Linked DNA regions of Ovis aries. The protein of the gene in region 1 binds, or shares a complex with, the protein of each later gene. Links are inferred from orthologs where the notes say so. Each region holds a gene or a part of one and is shown on either strand. Other genes may lie near its edges.

Evidence for each region.
Region 2: the proteins of NUP205 (region 1) and NUP85 are in contact, whole or in part, in a cryo-EM structure (PDB 7TDZ), measured with the Xenopus laevis proteins. The link is inferred for Ovis aries from reciprocal best matches to the Homo sapiens genes NUP205 and NUP85. Residues at the interface, in XP_041443600.1 of Xenopus laevis: Glu1477, Cys1480, Arg1481, Cys1484, Asp1485, Ser1517, Gly1518, Tyr1519, Leu1520, Lys1521, Val1522, Val1524, Asp1525, Ser1574, Gly1575, Gln1582, Gln1638, Gly1641, Gln1642, Gln1645, Val1648, Leu1690, Asp1691, Ile1692, Gly1693, Leu1694, Asn1695, Asp1696, Gly1697, Ser1698; in XP_041431608.1 of Xenopus laevis: Ala86, Glu87, Glu88, Ala89, Ser90, Gly91, Lys92, Ser93, Arg94, Lys95, Pro156, Pro239, Met240, Gly245, Thr246, Gln247, Thr248, Leu249, Thr250, Glu251, Phe252, Glu253, Leu254, Lys255, Trp256, Gln257, His258, Trp259, Pro315.
Region 3: the proteins of NUP205 (region 1) and NUP107 are in contact, whole or in part, in a cryo-EM structure (PDB 7WB4), measured with the Xenopus laevis proteins. The link is inferred for Ovis aries from reciprocal best matches to the Homo sapiens genes NUP205 and NUP107. Residues at the interface, in XP_041443600.1 of Xenopus laevis: Gly1247, Gln1248, Arg1249, Pro1250, Ser1458, Arg1506, Gln1507, Leu1983, His1991, Gln1995; in NP_001091312.1 of Xenopus laevis: Gln134, Glu136, Pro189, Tyr282, Tyr283, Gln770, Ser772, Phe773, Thr774.
Region 4: NUP205 (region 1) and NUP153 share a complex: the UniProt entries of both Homo sapiens proteins name them as parts of the nuclear pore complex. The link is inferred for Ovis aries from reciprocal best matches to the Homo sapiens genes NUP205 and NUP153.

Annotation. Positions count from the first base shown.
Region 1 is NC_056057.1:100,880,364-100,883,918, reverse strand, and holds part of NUP205 (nuclear pore complex protein Nup205), read right to left. Parts: intron 2,730-3,555; coding exon 2,580-2,729; intron 2,000-2,579; coding exon 1,928-1,999; intron 1,357-1,927; coding exon 1,199-1,356; intron 755-1,198; coding exon 674-754; intron 1-673. UniProt on the Homo sapiens protein: Plays a role in the nuclear pore complex (NPC) assembly and/or maintenance. May anchor NUP62 and other nucleoporins, but not NUP153 and TPR, to the NPC.
Region 2 is NC_056064.1:55,609,176-55,613,196, forward strand, and holds the start of NUP85 (nuclear pore complex protein Nup85), read right to left. Parts: upstream 2,801-4,021; 5' UTR 2,725-2,800; coding exon of another isoform or gene 2,692-2,724; 5' UTR 2,051-2,691; coding exon 1,985-2,050; intron 1-1,984. UniProt on the Homo sapiens protein: Essential component of the nuclear pore complex (NPC) that seems to be required for NPC assembly and maintenance. As part of the NPC Nup107-160 subcomplex plays a role in RNA export and in tethering NUP96/Nup98 and NUP153 to the nucleus.
Region 3 is NC_056056.1:151,301,037-151,305,221, forward strand, and holds the start of NUP107 (nuclear pore complex protein Nup107), read right to left. Parts: upstream 2,801-4,185; 5' UTR 2,712-2,800; coding exon 2,704-2,711; intron 1,531-2,703; coding exon 1,439-1,530; intron 718-1,438; coding exon 631-717; coding exon of another isoform or gene 630-630; intron 15-629; coding exon of another isoform or gene 1-14. UniProt on the Homo sapiens protein: Plays a role in the nuclear pore complex (NPC) assembly and/or maintenance. Required for the assembly of peripheral proteins into the NPC. May anchor NUP62 to the NPC. Involved in nephrogenesis.
Region 4 is NC_056073.1:39,014,305-39,018,131, reverse strand, and holds the start of NUP153 (nuclear pore complex protein Nup153), read right to left. Parts: upstream 2,417-3,827; coding exon 2,303-2,416; exon of another isoform or gene 2,140-2,302; intron 1-2,139. Other genes in the region: uncharacterized protein LOC121817444, read left to right, coding at 2,415-3,044. UniProt on the Homo sapiens protein: Component of the nuclear pore complex (NPC), a complex required for the trafficking across the nuclear envelope. Functions as a scaffolding element in the nuclear phase of the NPC essential for normal nucleocytoplasmic transport of proteins and mRNAs.

The DNA of each region.
Region 1 (3,555 bases):
CTCTGTTATACTAGAGCTCCCTAAAACCCAAGTTTGACATCACATTTTCTCGATGTGTCTTCTATTTGTTTGCCTCTGGCTTTGGCCTAGCCAGCTGTGTTTCCACATATGTGGTCCTTCCCACTCAATCTCTGACCCATATCTCCCCATTTGTGATGACTCTTCCCTCACTGACTGGGAACAAGTAAAATCTATTACACAATATGAAAAGGTTGTAAATCCTCAACTAGCTTAGCAGAAAGGATATGATTTTTATTCAGGCATCCAGACATTAACTTCAGTTCAGCTTTTAACATTACAAAGTCAAAAGTGAAAGACTCCATTCCTATCAGATCCACTTCTCAATTGTAAAAAGCATAATCAGAACTCTAAAAGAGGCAGGATCCAATCATGCCTGTGAGATGATTAGAAAAGTTTGTGCTTAATTTGCATGTAAAACACATATTAGAATATCTTGGGTCATGCTGGCTCAGTGTGACAAACTCCACTGTGTATTTGTGTATATGAATAGAGCAAAATGTGAATGCTTTTAACAATAATAAAATGGCAATGACGAGTGACTTTTAATTTTTAAGTTGTTTCCTAATAATGAATTAGAAGTCAGTTCGCTGTTTTATCATCTAACTGGTGATTTAAGTAGCTTAAGGAGTTAAAAGGTGTCAGCAGGGCTTACATCCATCAGGAGAGGTCTTTGTCCTATGGCTGCCATACCCTGAAGGGCGTTCACTTCGGCCACAAGAACTCTGTGAAGCAGCTACATAATTGAGAGAAGGGAGAAAAATAAGATCATTCCCGACACTGGTACAACAATAACTTAGCAGTTACTTTAAACTGCCCTAGAGGGGAAAGTTTCAGAGAGTAGTACCAAAGAGCCTCTGTGGCAGGAAACTTGGTCCAAATGCACAGGATATCTTCTTCCTACTAGTCAGGTCATTACCACCTACCTGGTAGAGAGTTAAATAATTAAAACCACCCTGAGTGACAGCTGGGTGGCATGATTACTAACACGAAGGAGATGGGAAACCTAACAGATAAAATTAGTGCGGGCTATTCAGTTTTCTTTCACTGCTGCTTGAAAAGTGTAAACCACAGTCTAATAAACCAACACCTCTATTAGAAAAAAAAAAAGTTATTTTTTCCTAATGACTCAAAGACTGTGAACCACTTGATACTTCACACACTCTAAAGCAATGCTCACCTTGACATTGCAGACTGTCTGTCCCCGTAAATTCTTGTGTTCACAGTTAGCAATAACTTGTTCAATCTGGGCCCGATCAAAGAAATCCAACTGCAAAGGCTCAGGAATCTCCTGACTGAAGTCAATGGAGTCGAGAATATTGAGAATTTTGCGACGTACTAGAAAAAATGAAAAGTCGTTTTACTTTAGCTGGGACATTGAAGAGAAAAGCAAAGCACAGTACTCAGCTCACTCTCAAAGACAGTACTATATCTATGTTCAGAAAGGGCCTCAGTCTGGAAATTGAAAATTGTATTGAAATCTAAATTGGATTTTATTTCTAACACATTCATTTGCAAAAATGTTTTTCCCATGCTATCATCTTGCTATAAAAAGATTTTTTTGTTGACAAATAATTTTCACATAGCTTTTCAACATCAGTCCAGAATTTGCAGATACAGGCATTAATTACCTCCTAAAATTTTAAGCAATTTAATATATACATATCTAGCTTCCCTTGTAGCTCAGTCGGTAAAGAATTTGCCTGCAGTGCGGGAGACCTGGGTTCGATCCCTGGGTTGGGAAGATCCCCTGGAGAAGGAAATGGCAACCCACTCCAGTATCCTTGCCTGGAAAATCTCATGGACAGAGGAGCCTGGTGGGCTGCAGTCCACGGGGTCGCAAAGAGTCAGGCACTACTGAGCGACTAACACTTACTTACAAATTTATTACAGATTCAAAGAGCTTTACCTTTTGTAGAAGTGTCAAAGTGCAGGAACCCAGAGACAGACCTATTTTCATCTTCCATGCCTCCTTCCCCATCTGTTGGAGCATCAGGAATAAAAGATCAGAAAAGAACACATTCACAAAATTTATTCAGAAATAACAAATATCAGGTTATTATATTTCTATGTCATTGTTTCTAGGTCAAAGAGCCCCTTGCAAATGGATAATTAAAATGCACAGATGATGAGAACTTATCAACAACATTCATCTAATTCTTTCTGTTTCTATCAGATCCACTTCACAATTGTAAAAAGCATAATCAGAACTCTAAAAGAGGCAGGATCCAATCACACCTGTGAGATGATTAGAAAAGTCTGTGCTTAATTTGCATGTAAAACACATATTAGAATATCTTGGGTCATGCTGGCTCAGTGTGACAAACTCCACTGTGTATTTGTGTATATGAATAGAGCAAAATGTGAATGCTTTTAACAATAATAAAATGGCAATGATGGGTGACTTTTAATTTCGTGTTCTGAAGGGAAAAAATCCTAAAGGCAGAAAGAACATGCTTGGCCTACAATCACAGACTAACCATAAGATTCAGATTTGCACTTGCATTCACACAGCCCAGTCAGCAGCACGGCAACACAAATGCCAACATGCAGATGTTCACCTGAGTAGGGTTTCACTGGCATGTCATCCAGCAGGAGGTGGAGGAGCCTCTGGGTGTGTGAGCGCTGGCGATTCAAAGAAGTTACCCTTAGTTCTATTGAGGCAGTCTTCATCAGCCATGACATCTGGTTCAGCATAGATATTTCATATTCTGGAATTTAAATATATATGTTTAGTTTCCCAGTATACGACACAAAATCAGAACAGACATAGTCTGTAACTTGTCAGTATTTTCCCATGCAACATAGTCAATAATTTATGAAACTATGCACCATAATAATTTGCCACTCTATAAGATTAAAAAAGAAAAAACCAGATGCCAAGAGAAAAAATAAGCCAGTGTATGTCTATGAAAGCTAAGCAAAAGCAACTGAAGAACAAAAGAGAATCAAGTTTCTGTTGCTAGAATAACTTCACACAGATCTAGAGAATTCTGGATCTATCATAGTTTGACATTAATAGGGAATTTAATACTTAAAAAGATAATCCAAGTACTTTTCAACTATTTATCTTGACAAAAAAAGACTATCATAAAATCTGATTTTTATTTCAGAAAAAAATACATTTTAAAAACTAAAATAAATACATAATTTGCATAACTTTAAAATGCATAATTTTCTGCTATCTTGAGATGATCAATGCCGTTTTGGTCTAACATATAGTTAGGACTGGGAATCACTTATACAATAAAAGTTTTTGAATCCAATATTATTATAATATGCCTGGCTTTGAAGTCTTAAATTATGAGTTTTATAAACATACAAACACTGCTACTACTGCTAATAATAATAATTACAAGCAAAGCTACATCAATATTTAAAAAGTAGACAGCAAGATAGGCAAGATAGAAATTCTTTTTTCCTATTAGGAATAAAAAAGGGTTTCTTAAAAATCTTGTTATAAACAATATCTTGGGGTTAAAAATAACATATACTGATTATGAAAATGAAGTCAAACTCTTCTGCCATTAGGTAATT
Region 2 (4,021 bases), on another chromosome or scaffold:
ATAGGTATCCCTCTTCTAACAGCCATGAATCTCCTTCTAAGCATCATATATCATCCACATCTGACATACTCTCCTGAGAGTTCAAACAGATGTGAAAGCAAACAGAGCAATGAAAAAGCAGGAGTATTCTCCCGAGACCTAGTAGATGCTGAAAAGATCAAGAAGAGATAGAAAGAATACATGGAAGAACTGTATAAAAAAGATCTTAATGAACCGGATTACTAGTTAGTCCGGTTGTAGTTAGTCACCCAGAGTCAGACATTCTGGAGTGCAAAGTCAAGTGGGCCTTAGGAGAAGCACTGCTGTTAATAAAGCTAGTGGATGTGATGAAATTCCAGCAGAACTACTCAAATCCCTGAAGGAGAATACCATCAAGGATTTGCATTCATTATGTCAGCAAGTCTGGAAGACCCAGCAGTGGCCACATGACTGGAAAAGGTAATCTTCATCTCAATTCCCAAGAAGGGTAGTACCAAAGAATGTGCTAACCATCAGACAATTGCACTCATCTCCCATGCTAGTAAGATCATGCTTAAAATCTTGCATGCTAGGCTGAAGCATTATGCGAACCAAGAACTTCCAGATGTCCAAGCTGGGCTTAGAAAAGAAAGAGGAACTAGAGATCAAATTGCCAACATTTGCTGGATGATACAGAAAGCAAGGGAATTTCAAAAAAACATCTATCTCTGCTTCATCAACTACCCTAAAGCCTTTGACTGTGTGGATCATGACAAACTGTGGAAAGCTCTTAGAGAGATGGGAATACCAGACCATCACACCTGTCTCCTAAGAAATACTCCCTGACAAATATTTCCATTTGTCCACTTAGGCTTGTTCTACACCTCTTAGCTCTTGGTAACCTGTAAGCCCTGCTAAATGGCAAAGAAGCAAAGTTAGAAGCAGGAGAAACATCAACAGACTTAGATGATGACACCACCCTAATGGCAGAAAGTGAAGAGGAACTAAAGAGCCTCTTGATGAGTGTGGAGGAGAGTGAAAGAGTCAGCTTAAGGCTAAATATTAAAAAAAACTAAGATCATGGCATCTGGCTCCATTCAGTTCAGTTGAGTTCAGTTGCTCAGTCATGTCCGACTCTTTGCGACCCCATGAATTGCAGCACACCAGGCCTCCCTGTCCATCACCAACCCCCGGAGTTCACTCAGACTCATGTCCATCAAGTCCGTGATGCCATCCAGCCATCTCATCCTCAGTCGTCCCCTTCTCCTCCTGCCCCCAATCCCTCCCAGCATCAGAGCCTTTTCCAATGAGTCAACTCTTTGCATGAGGTGGCCAAAGTATTGGAGTTTCAGCTTTAGCATCAGTCCTTCCAAAGAACACCCACGACTGATCTCCCTTAGAATGGACTGGTTGGATCTTGCAGTCCATGGGACTCTCAAGAGTCTTCTCCAGCACCACAGTTCAAAAACATCAATTCTTCGGTGCTCAGCTTTCTTCACAGTCCAACTCTCGCATCCATACATGACCACTGGAAAAACCATAGCCTTGACTAGACGGACCTCTGTTGGCAACGTAATGTCTCTGCTTTTGAATATGCTATCTAGGTTGGTCATAACTTTCCTTCCAAGGAGTAAGCCTCTTTTAATTTCATGGCTGCAATCACCACTGCAGCAAATAGAAGGGGGAAAGGTGGAAGTAATGACAGATTTCCTCTTGAGCTCCAAAATCTCTGCAGATAGTGAATGCAGCCATGAAATCAAACACAATTGCTTCTTGACAGGAAAGTGATGACAAACCTAGGCAGTGAGTTGAAAAGCAGAGACATTACCAACAAAGGTTCGTGTTGTCAACGATATGGTCTTCCCAGGGGTCATGTACAGTTGTGAGAGCTGGACCATAAAGAAGGCAGAATGCCAAAGAATTGATGCCTTCGAACTGTGGTGCTGGAGAAGACTCCTGAAAGTCCCTTGGACAGGAAGGAGATCAAACCAGTCAATCTTAAGGGAGGTCAATCCTGAATACTCACTGGAGGGACTGTTGCTGAAGCTGAAGCTCCAGTATTTTGGTCATCTGATGAGAACAGACGACTCATTTGGCAAAGTCCCTGATGTTGAGAAAGATCGAGGGCAGGAGGAGCAGAGGGCGTCAGAGGACGAGATGAAGCGACGGCATCAAGGATGGAATGAACTTGAACTTAAGCAAACTCCGGGAGGTGGTGAGGGACAGGGAGGCCTGGCGTGCTGCAGTCCATGGGGTCGCAAAGAGTCGGACACGACTGGGCCACTGAACAACAGCAGTCTCCCAAGAGAACTATACTTGGTAAACCTACGGCCTGCTCAAGCAGAAGCCAGGCTCAGGGGGCTGCGACGTGAAGCTTTGCTCCGCTGGGAGAAAAAAAGCCGTACAATATCTCCGCCTGGCTCCAACCCGCTCATTAAAGCTTTAGCCCAACAGGAAAAGCCAGAGAAGCAGGGAGGTCGGGGAGGCAAGGGACAGAAAGGAACAGAGTTGGGGGGGCGGTCTCCAGGGCCAGGTATTCCTCAGAATACACATGGGAGCAGAAACCCAGCGACCACCACGACCCACACGCGGGGAGCGAATTAATGCGACTTCCGAACGGGGGGCAACTGTGCTGAGGGAAGGGGCCGGGCACCCTGCCAGCGGCAGGGACGAGGCGGACCCAATCTCCGGGCCCCAGGGCGGGGGAGAGCGTACTGTTCGGGGCCCCCTTACAGTGACCGTCGGCTCGCTGTCGAACTCCTCCATAGCGCCGCACCACAGCCGCCGGGAACTCGCGGGGCCGCCAGGGCTCGCGCCTCAGGGCTCCGGCTCAGGGCCGGCTGCGAGAGAGGACCCCGCGCGTGAGCGCCTCCCGCACTGCCTGCAGGCCCAGAGGCCCGCCGCGGCGGGGCCTTCTCCTCAGAGCCTCGGCCACCCGCTCTGCGGCGCTGCCCACGCGCCCCTCCTTCTGGCCTCGACCACACGAACGGGGAAGGCAGCACTAGGGGCGGCCTGCCCTCACGGGACCCCTTTCGCCAGAGCCGGCGCCGCCGCGGACACCCCTGAGCCGGGCGGAAAGAAGGCCCCCCGGAGACGGCGGGAGCGGCGGGGAGGCGGCTGCGCGTGCGCGGTCGAGGGCGAGCTCTCGGTTTGGCCCCGGCGGGAGCGAGTTCACCACCTCTGGCGAGCCTGGGTTTCCTTCCCGCGCCTCGGTCTGCAGGCTCCAGTCGTCGGCGCCGCTGCTTTTTCCGTGGCAGGAGCCCCGTTGGTCCATCGGGCTTGTGTACGAAGGTATTCGTCACCAGCCCCTACCCCAAAAGGCTCCAGAGGCGTGAGGGGGACGAGATTGATGCAGCTGAAACAGCTAGGAAACGGAGACCCCTGGGCTCAGTTGAACACAAATACTGGTTTGTTATGGGCTTCCCAGGTGGCTCAGTGGTCAAGAATACCGAGACGCGGGTTCGATCCCGGGGTGGGAAAGATCCCCTACAGAAGAAAATGGCAACCCTCTCATACTCTTGCCTGGGAAAATCCCATGGACAGAGGAGCCTGGCGGACTACAGTTCATGGAGTCGCAAGAGTCGAACGCGGCTTAGCGACTGAACAACTGATTTGTTATCTCACCAAAGAAAAGCAGGAGAAAAAATCAAATCAGGGAATTTGAATCCCAGATCTTGTTATGGAAAACCTCAAAAGTGCTTCGGTGACCTAAAGGAGTTATTTATTTTGTGAGTGCCATGTTTACAAATGTATACACATACAAAGACGGAGAAGGCAATGGCACCCCACTCCAGTATTCTTGCCTGGAAAATCCCATGGACGGAGAAGCCTGGAAGGCTGCAGTCCATGGGGTCGCTGAGGGTTGGACACGACTGAGCGACTTCACTTTCACTTTTCACTTTCATGCATTGGAGAAGGAAATGGCAACCCACTCCAGTGTTCTTGCCTGGAGAATCCCAGGGACGGGGGAGCCTGGTGGGCTGCCCTCTCTGGGGTCGCACAGAATCGGACACGACTGAAGCGACTTAGCAGCAGCGGCAGCAGCAGCAGACATACAAAGAAG
Region 3 (4,185 bases), on another chromosome or scaffold:
ATTAGTAAAAAGAATTCGAAGTGCATGAGCATTGATCATGAAAATGAAACAAGCAAATAAAAACGAACAATTTTCACTTTTCAATTATTTAGATTCTAACCAAATATACTTTCAATATTAACATTTCTATAATATCAAGATTTAACTTATTTTTCTAAATACGAACTTTTGGTACTACTGAGCCCACCAAAAAAATTTTACTGCAAACAGAAATGCTGTCATTATAACGTAACTGAACATAAAAAAAAAAAAAGACACTCATGAGTTCATGAATTTATCAAATTCTAATTTTATAAAGCATACGATAGTATAAAGGACATGGACTCTGAAGTAAGCAGATTATGATTTGAATTTTGGTTCCATTACTTACATACTTACCTAGCTATTTTATCTGCATTAATCAACTTCTCTAGTTCTCATGTTCAGATTTGACAAAATAGAGACAATATCTACTTTCACAGCTATTATGCAATTATGTAAAGCCTTACACATGGTAAGAGTTCAACAAATAGTAAGTGCAATCCCTATTATTTGTTCTTAATTAAAAATAACTTATAAAATATAATATTACAGTATTAGCTGCTATTACTGTTATCATTATTAAATGCTTTAAAAGCAAAAAAATCTTACAAGGTTGTCGAAATGAGCTGGGAGTTCGGGGCATAACCTGGTTTCTTGGAGTGGTATTAGAAAAAATTTCATCTTGGGCTACCCGAACTACAGGAAATGTTAAAGAAAGTTTTTTGTATAGAAAAAAACATCACTAAAGTTAGAATGAACCATATTTCAGTTCAGTTCAGTTCAGTCGCTCAGTCGTGTCCGACTCTTTGCGACCCCATGAATCACAGCATGCCAGGCCTCCCTGTCCATCAGCAACTCCCGGAGTTTATCCAAACTCATGTCCATAGAGTTGGTGATACCATCCAGCCATCTCATCCTCTGTCGTCCCCTTCTCCTCCTGCCCCCAATCCCTTCCAGCATGAACCATATTTATACTATACAAAATATGAGAATATGTTTTTCAAGGACAAGGTATTTTATAGCTACCATATTTTCTATGCAAAGAGTAAATAATTCCTTTTCCCCTTTAAATTCTAGTTATCAGTTACTACAGTCTTGAACTAAGTGCTCAAGTCTTAGGTTACCACACACTGAACTAAGAGTTCTTAGAACTCAAATAATAAAGAAAATCTAACCTCAGCAAAAGCTAACCACAATATGACAGTTAGCAGTAAAATGGAACATCCTTATTTTCAAGGAAATATGAATCTCACTGAATTTCAGCATCATATTTACCAAATAACACATCTGGAGAGTTAAAAAAATTAATTTCCACAGTATTTTATTGCAGCTAGTGTTTAATATCACTATGAAGTCTATAATGCTAATTCCAAACATGTTACAATTTTTATAATGATGCTTAAAATGCAAAGGATACTTAAAGCTCTTTTTTGGGCACTCTGTTTGCGTGCAGTCCGAGTCACCTCTGCCTCCCGGATCACAGGAGATGACATCTCTCCAAAGCCACTCCTAAAATGGCAATAATCAAATTCACATGAATGAAATGAGAAAGGAGCATTTGCAAAAAAAACTTCTATCATTACCAAATCCAGCTTATCTCTCAAAGTCCTGCTCAAATTTTACCCGCATAAAGTCTTCTCTGACTTACGTGTTAATTTTTTCCTCCTCTGGAATTATTTTAACACTTGGAATCTAAATCTATATTCTAACACTGCTTTAAATAATTGCTTCCTGAAGATAAACCTTACTTCCTTGGATTGAGGAGGTTCCTAAAGTTGCAGGAACTCTTAAAAGGATGTCTGTAGTCTCCAAAGTACTTCAAACCATGGATACTTCTAAGCTGGTGACTTGGGAAACTAAATAAAAAATAAATCTAATAAATTGGAAAGAAATGATCCTTCAAGCTTTTCTTCCCAGAGTACACTAAGGGTGTCGTCTATCTCAGTACTATTACAGTCACAGACATTCTCAGCCCAAAGTCTAGAAAATAAATTGTGTGTATTATGAGACCTGTATCTTAAGAATCTAATGTGCATTTCCTCCACTTGAAATCTTCAGATAGATATCTCTGGCCTACAGAATCAAGTCCAAATTTCCTACCATGGCTTTTATAATCTGACCCCAGCTTACCAGTTCAGCCACAAACATCACTTTCATACAAACACACACTGCATGTGACCATTAAGCTATACTTTCATATCCTTACACCTTTATACCTTTGTAGGCATTCTTTTCAGAGGCCTACATTCACCTCTTTGGTCTATCTGGTGAATACTATCTGCTGAATCAAACAGCCCCCTAGAATCTAGAAACACATATCCAGGTTGGCAACTTGGTTCTTAGCTTCCTTTGTTAGCTTCCTAACTGATCAAGTTCCTTAACCTCTTTTAGCCTCAATTCTATGTATGAAAAGAGGATCACAGTAGCTACCTTCATAGGATTGAATAACTCATCAGGCCCCTACATAAAGATGAGTTATTCAAGGATCTTGGCAAGGACCATATCCGTCCCCGGCCCAAGCGGCCTTTCTCCCTTAGCTGCAGTCTTCCAGCCGGAAAAGGATGCCTAGAATCAGCACCCAGGCCCTCGTCTGCTTCCTCTGAGTCGGGTTTCACCTGTTTCATTCCTCCAACACGCTGGGGAGGAAAGTGATCGACTTCAGCCTTCACCACCAGAACTTACCTGTCCATGGCTACAGCCTTCTCCAGCAAGAACTTTGCAAACTCAACTCCACTTTAGCCACCGCGTTTCAGCCTACCCGCTCACCGGAAGTAAACCCTTCGACCTGGAAGCAAGTTCTCATGTTATCGCGAGGGGTGGGAGGGGAAAAGAACCAACTTTCCCTCTAGGCGCATGCACAAAGCCGCACTTTCGGCCTGCGCAGGCGCAAAGTTGTGTCGGCGATTAACGGCTCCGGGCTGGGCAGGGCCGGACCAGGGGCGGGGTAGAAGTGGGGTAGGAGGCGGGGCCTGATCGTTTATCCGTGCTGCGCGGCCGCCACTTTGCTTGACTGACATTTGTGAGGCGTGGTCCAGGCGCCGGTGTCCTGCTAGAGGTCCTGATGTATATTGATGGTATAGAAAAACGTGAAGCCATTTCCTCATACTCTATGGGAAACACCCTGGTCGTTGAATTCAGACGTGCTGGCTCTGCTCTACATCTTGGAGGTTCTTATATCTCTGACTGTACTCACCTTGTTTGAGCTGAAGTGTAAACCCCTTACAGTCTTTGAAACTGTTTTCCATAGTGGCTAATTATTCTTTACTTGGTATATTTCCCTATTAAGGAGAAAATGATCACCTGTCTTAAAAAGTGTAAAAGGTGTTGGTATCGCCCTCTATTTCAAAGTGCAGTAGTCAAAAAGCTGTATATTCTAGCCCTAAAGGAATAAGTTTACGTTTTCCTTAGGCATTTGTTGATATATTCCACCCTAATCCTGGGAAATGTCGTTCTAGGAGGACTTCTTCATACCTAATTCCTGCTGAGACAGCGTGGGGTTTTGAAAAAACGTGGCGTTGAGCTCCATCTAGGTTAGAAACCCCGGCGCTGCAGATTCCTTGCCTGTAAAATGGAGATAACGCGTTCATCACAGAGTTCTTGGGAGGATTAAGACGAGATGTCAAAGGTGCATCGCACATAGTAGTCATCGAAATGTTAATTTTCTCCTCCATCAATAACTATTTGAGTCTCACCCTAGTACCCTCTTTTTTTTTCATATTCTAATTTTTCTTGTATAAAAGAGTACTTGTCTCTTAATGGAAAATGAAATGTGGCCTTAATGTTTTTTTGTCAGTACTGGAATCAGGTTTATTCAAAGTAGGAGCCTGTTTCAGGTTCTTGCCATGTGTCCCCTGGCAAATGAATTGTAAAGTGTTTTATTATAAAATGTATTTGCGGTGATTGACCATAAGGCACACAGTAAAACGGAAGAGCAGTTTGGAGCAAAGAATTACCTCCAAGGTTCAGTTCATACGTAAAGAGGGAACATTTGTGTAAAAAGTGTACCAGGAAACTACCCTGGAGGTCCAATTGTTAAGACTTTGCCTTCCACTGAAATGGGTGTAGTTTTCATCCCTGGTCCGGGAGCTGAGATCCCACATGCCTCTGAGCCAAAACAACAACAAAAACCCAGAACATAAACAACAGAAGCAACATTGTAACAAA
Region 4 (3,827 bases), on another chromosome or scaffold:
ATGTCATGAAGCTCCATGCTATTCATGATGACTCAGCAGCTGCTGCTAAACAGAGGTGACAGCCTAGGATAGCTGACAGCAAGCAGGTGGTCTACAAGTTCACAGAAGTTTTAGTAAGGACTAAAGAACATCCTTATTTTAAGATTTTAAAAAATCCTCAAATATTCTTTTGTATATGCCTGGATACTTTTCTTTGGTAGTATTGCCAATACTAATTGTTGTTCAGTGGCAAGTCGTGTCCAACTCTGCAACCCCATGGACTGCAGCACGCCAGGCTCCCCTGTTCTTCACTACCTCCCGGAGTTTGCTCAAACTCAAGTCCATTGAGTTGGTGAGTCATGCTATCCAACCGTATTAGCCAATACTAATAATACCTGCAGAGTTGATTAAGAAACTTCCAAACACCTTTAATCTCAATTCAAAAGCTACAAATGTACTTTTTCAATTAAATGGCTGTGGCAAAAAGCTGAATACTTTAAACAGGGGGAAATGATAAACTACCAAACTTTAAAATAAAACTGCACAGTCTGAAATCATATCAGCTCTAAGACAATTTGGATCACAAGTGTTATGCTGTTAAGGCATCATCTCCCTCAAATTAGGTTTTTATCCAAGTATATTTAAAAATAAGGTGTGACTTTGGCTTTCGCCACCTGGAATATACGAGCTCCTTTCTAAACTCTGTCCAGACCATCCTATGATCTGTATTTACATTTCATTTTTTATGTAGTAACTTTCTCCTAAGGAAAGCACTATTTTTTCAGAAAAAACAGAAAGCACATGTGTCAAACTTCCTCGCAACAAAAGGGTTAGGTCAAAGGGCCAGGCTTGTGACCTGAATTCTAATCTTGCTCCTCACAAAGAAAATTTGAAAACCAAGCCTATCTGGGGGAACACTGGTGGGAGTTGATAGTAGCCAAGACTTGTAACCATTAGTAGAGAGCTACCTAATACTATAAACTACGAAATTTCACTATTAAGAAACTTCTCCCAAATCTTTACTTTTAAAATTCTGTTTTTAATGATACAATTTAACAACAGCACCAAACATGTTTAACTGTTAAATATTTATCATCATCTGGAATAAAGCAATCTAGAAGTCTACCTTTTATAGTATGCAACAAGTTATCAGACCCTTTTGCTATACTTTTTATAGGTTTAAGGCCCACACTTACTTCCTACCTTACTATCAGTGAAAAGTTTTATAAGTGACTTTTATTAGAAGGTTTTCAACATTTTCCCACTCAATCCCCCGTTAACAAGCAAAACTTAAAATACTTAACTTTCTCAGAATCAAATATCTGAGGATAAACTCCTATTTTTATAATTTCAAACACCCACGAGTGCACAAGGTGGTTAAATTTCAAGACCACCAACATTCCTGTAGTGTCGAAAGTACCTAAACTTCTAGAATACCCATTGCAATATTAAAATATTTTGTGCATGAGATCAGAACTGGAGTCCCAGTCAACTGTGCATAATGGCCAATTCTAGTCTCCAAAATAAAACGCGCGGGTGTGTGTGGGGAGGGGGGGGAAAGGTTGGACAAAAGTGGGGAGGGAAGAGTCTCGCGACGGAAAAACAGACGTAAGTGCGGAGAGGGACTTTCAAAATGCCCCAGTGCCACTAACCATATCCCGGTTGAAGAAAAAATTAAATAAGCCAGGGCTCTTAGATCGGGGAGGGCCACGGGGAGATGGAGAATTTAAAGGATGGAGAATAAGTTATTTCACTTTCCCTGTAACAGCGCCCCCGTCAAGCCCCAGGTAGGTACCCTGGCGGGGTGAGGATCGGAGGAGTCCTTGGGGCAGCCCCCCTCCCCGCACGCGCTGAAACGCGGGAGACTAGAAATCTGCAGGCGTGGGGGTGGGGGGCCCTCCCAACCACAGCATTTTCCCTTTTCCCTTGAGGGACATGAGTAATTAACCACCCCCCCTCCTCCAAGCTCCTAATCCCCGCCAAAAAAAGGGGGGGGGGGGGGCAGAATTCTAGGCCCACCGTGGGCCTCGTACTTGTGTTCCCGCCCTGCGCCCAGGCCCGGGGAAAGCCCCGGGGCGGAGAGGGCCAGGGTGCGGGGCGGGGGGTTGGTGGAGAGAGGAGGCCGAGCCACACGTGTGCGCCGCAGGGCTGGCCGGCCTCAAGCCCACTTCCCGTCGCCGCCCCGGCGGCCTCGGCTCCCGCCGCCTCGCCCGGGGCCTCCCCGACGCTCCACGTGGGGCGCCAGGGCCGCCCCCCCCGCCCCCCCGCCGCCCCGAGGGCCCGCGAAGGGACCCCCTCACACAGAGCGCCGGGGCTCCCTTACCTGGTGCTGCGGTCGCCCCTGCTGGTAAGGCTTCATCGGGCCCTGGTGGCAACGCCGCGTCCGGATCTTGCCGCCGCCACCGCCCCCTCCTCTGCCTCCGGCTCCCGAGGCCATGGCGGAGCCTCCGCGGCTTCCCCCTCCGGGGCGGGAGAGGCAGAGGCGGCCTCAGAGGACCCCCGCCCCCCGCCTCGCCTCACCCGGCCCCAGCCCCCAAGAGTCCGCCCGCGCTGCCCTCACAGCGGGGGCCCAGGCCCACCGGGAACCGCGGAGCGGCGAGCAGAAGCGGAGAAGAGAATGCGCGCTGGCGGCAGCGAGGTGGGGGGAGCGGGGCGGGGAGGCCACAGAGGCCGAGGAGCTGGCTCTCCGGTCCCGCAGGCTCCCGCGGACCCCCGCCTCTGTGTGTGTCACCGTCTCTATGGAGATTTCCCCCGCAGAGGACAACGCGAGCGGCCCCCGGCGCTGCTCGGGCCTAACTCGGCCGCCGGCTGATGGAGATTCTTCTTCCGCACGCCCCAGCCGTGTAGCTGCCGCAGTTGAAGCCGCCGGCGCCGCCCGCCTACCCCTCCCCTTTGCGCACAGCGCCCGCCCCGCCGCCGCCGTCGTCGTCGTCGCCGCCGTCGTCCCTGCAGTCGCCGCTGTTGCGTCTATTGCCGCTGCTAAGGCCGCCGCTGCGGTCTCGAGCCAGAACACCGTCACTCGTCAGCGCCCGGCGAGCCTGCGTCATCACGCTGCGACCGGCTGATAGGTGAGGAAGGAAGGAAGGGCTGGTCGAGCCCGCGCTCTCGGCCGCGCGGGCCGCTGGGAAATGTAGTTAACGGGAGGAAGGCTAATTCTCGGAAAGGACGCGGAAGGAGAGAGGCACGGTTTGCCGCAGAGGCACAAAGCCAGGGGGGTTCCGTTCCTTTTCCTGTGCTCGGCTATAAACGTAGACTTTGAAAGACGCATTTAACACAGAAGCAGTAACCTCCTTCTTACTCTCCTTCCTCGTGGTTGGTAAAGAGGACGGATAGTAAGGTAAAGAGGTAAAGTGAGCAGATAGTTAAATTAGACAGGAGCGAACATTATCTTATAAAAAGAAAAAAACCGGTTGAAAAAAGCAATGTTCATGATCTTTAAGCCTAAAGCAGAATTAGAAAAACATACAGTGTCATTAATGTTCCGTTGTTACATAAGAGCTGTTGTCAAAGAAGGCGAATTCTGGTTCCACCACTCTAGTTTGACCTTGGATAAGTCAAAACCTTCCTTCTCCCTATAAAATGGGAACTTTAATATCCACCTTATAGAGCTGTTGTGATCATACGAGTGGAGCACTTAGTATATTTCCTAGTATATGGGAAATGCAGTAAATGAGTACAGTGACTACCTACAGCAGTCAGCTCACATGAGAGGTAAAGGATATATTAGCAGTAATAAAACTGTACATATATTTGCCCCAAATAGAAGACGTATTTAGGAAAGTGAGTAAGCGAGCTAGGCTCAAACACTGAATCCACAAAGTATAGATATTTTAAGAGTTGACCGTTAA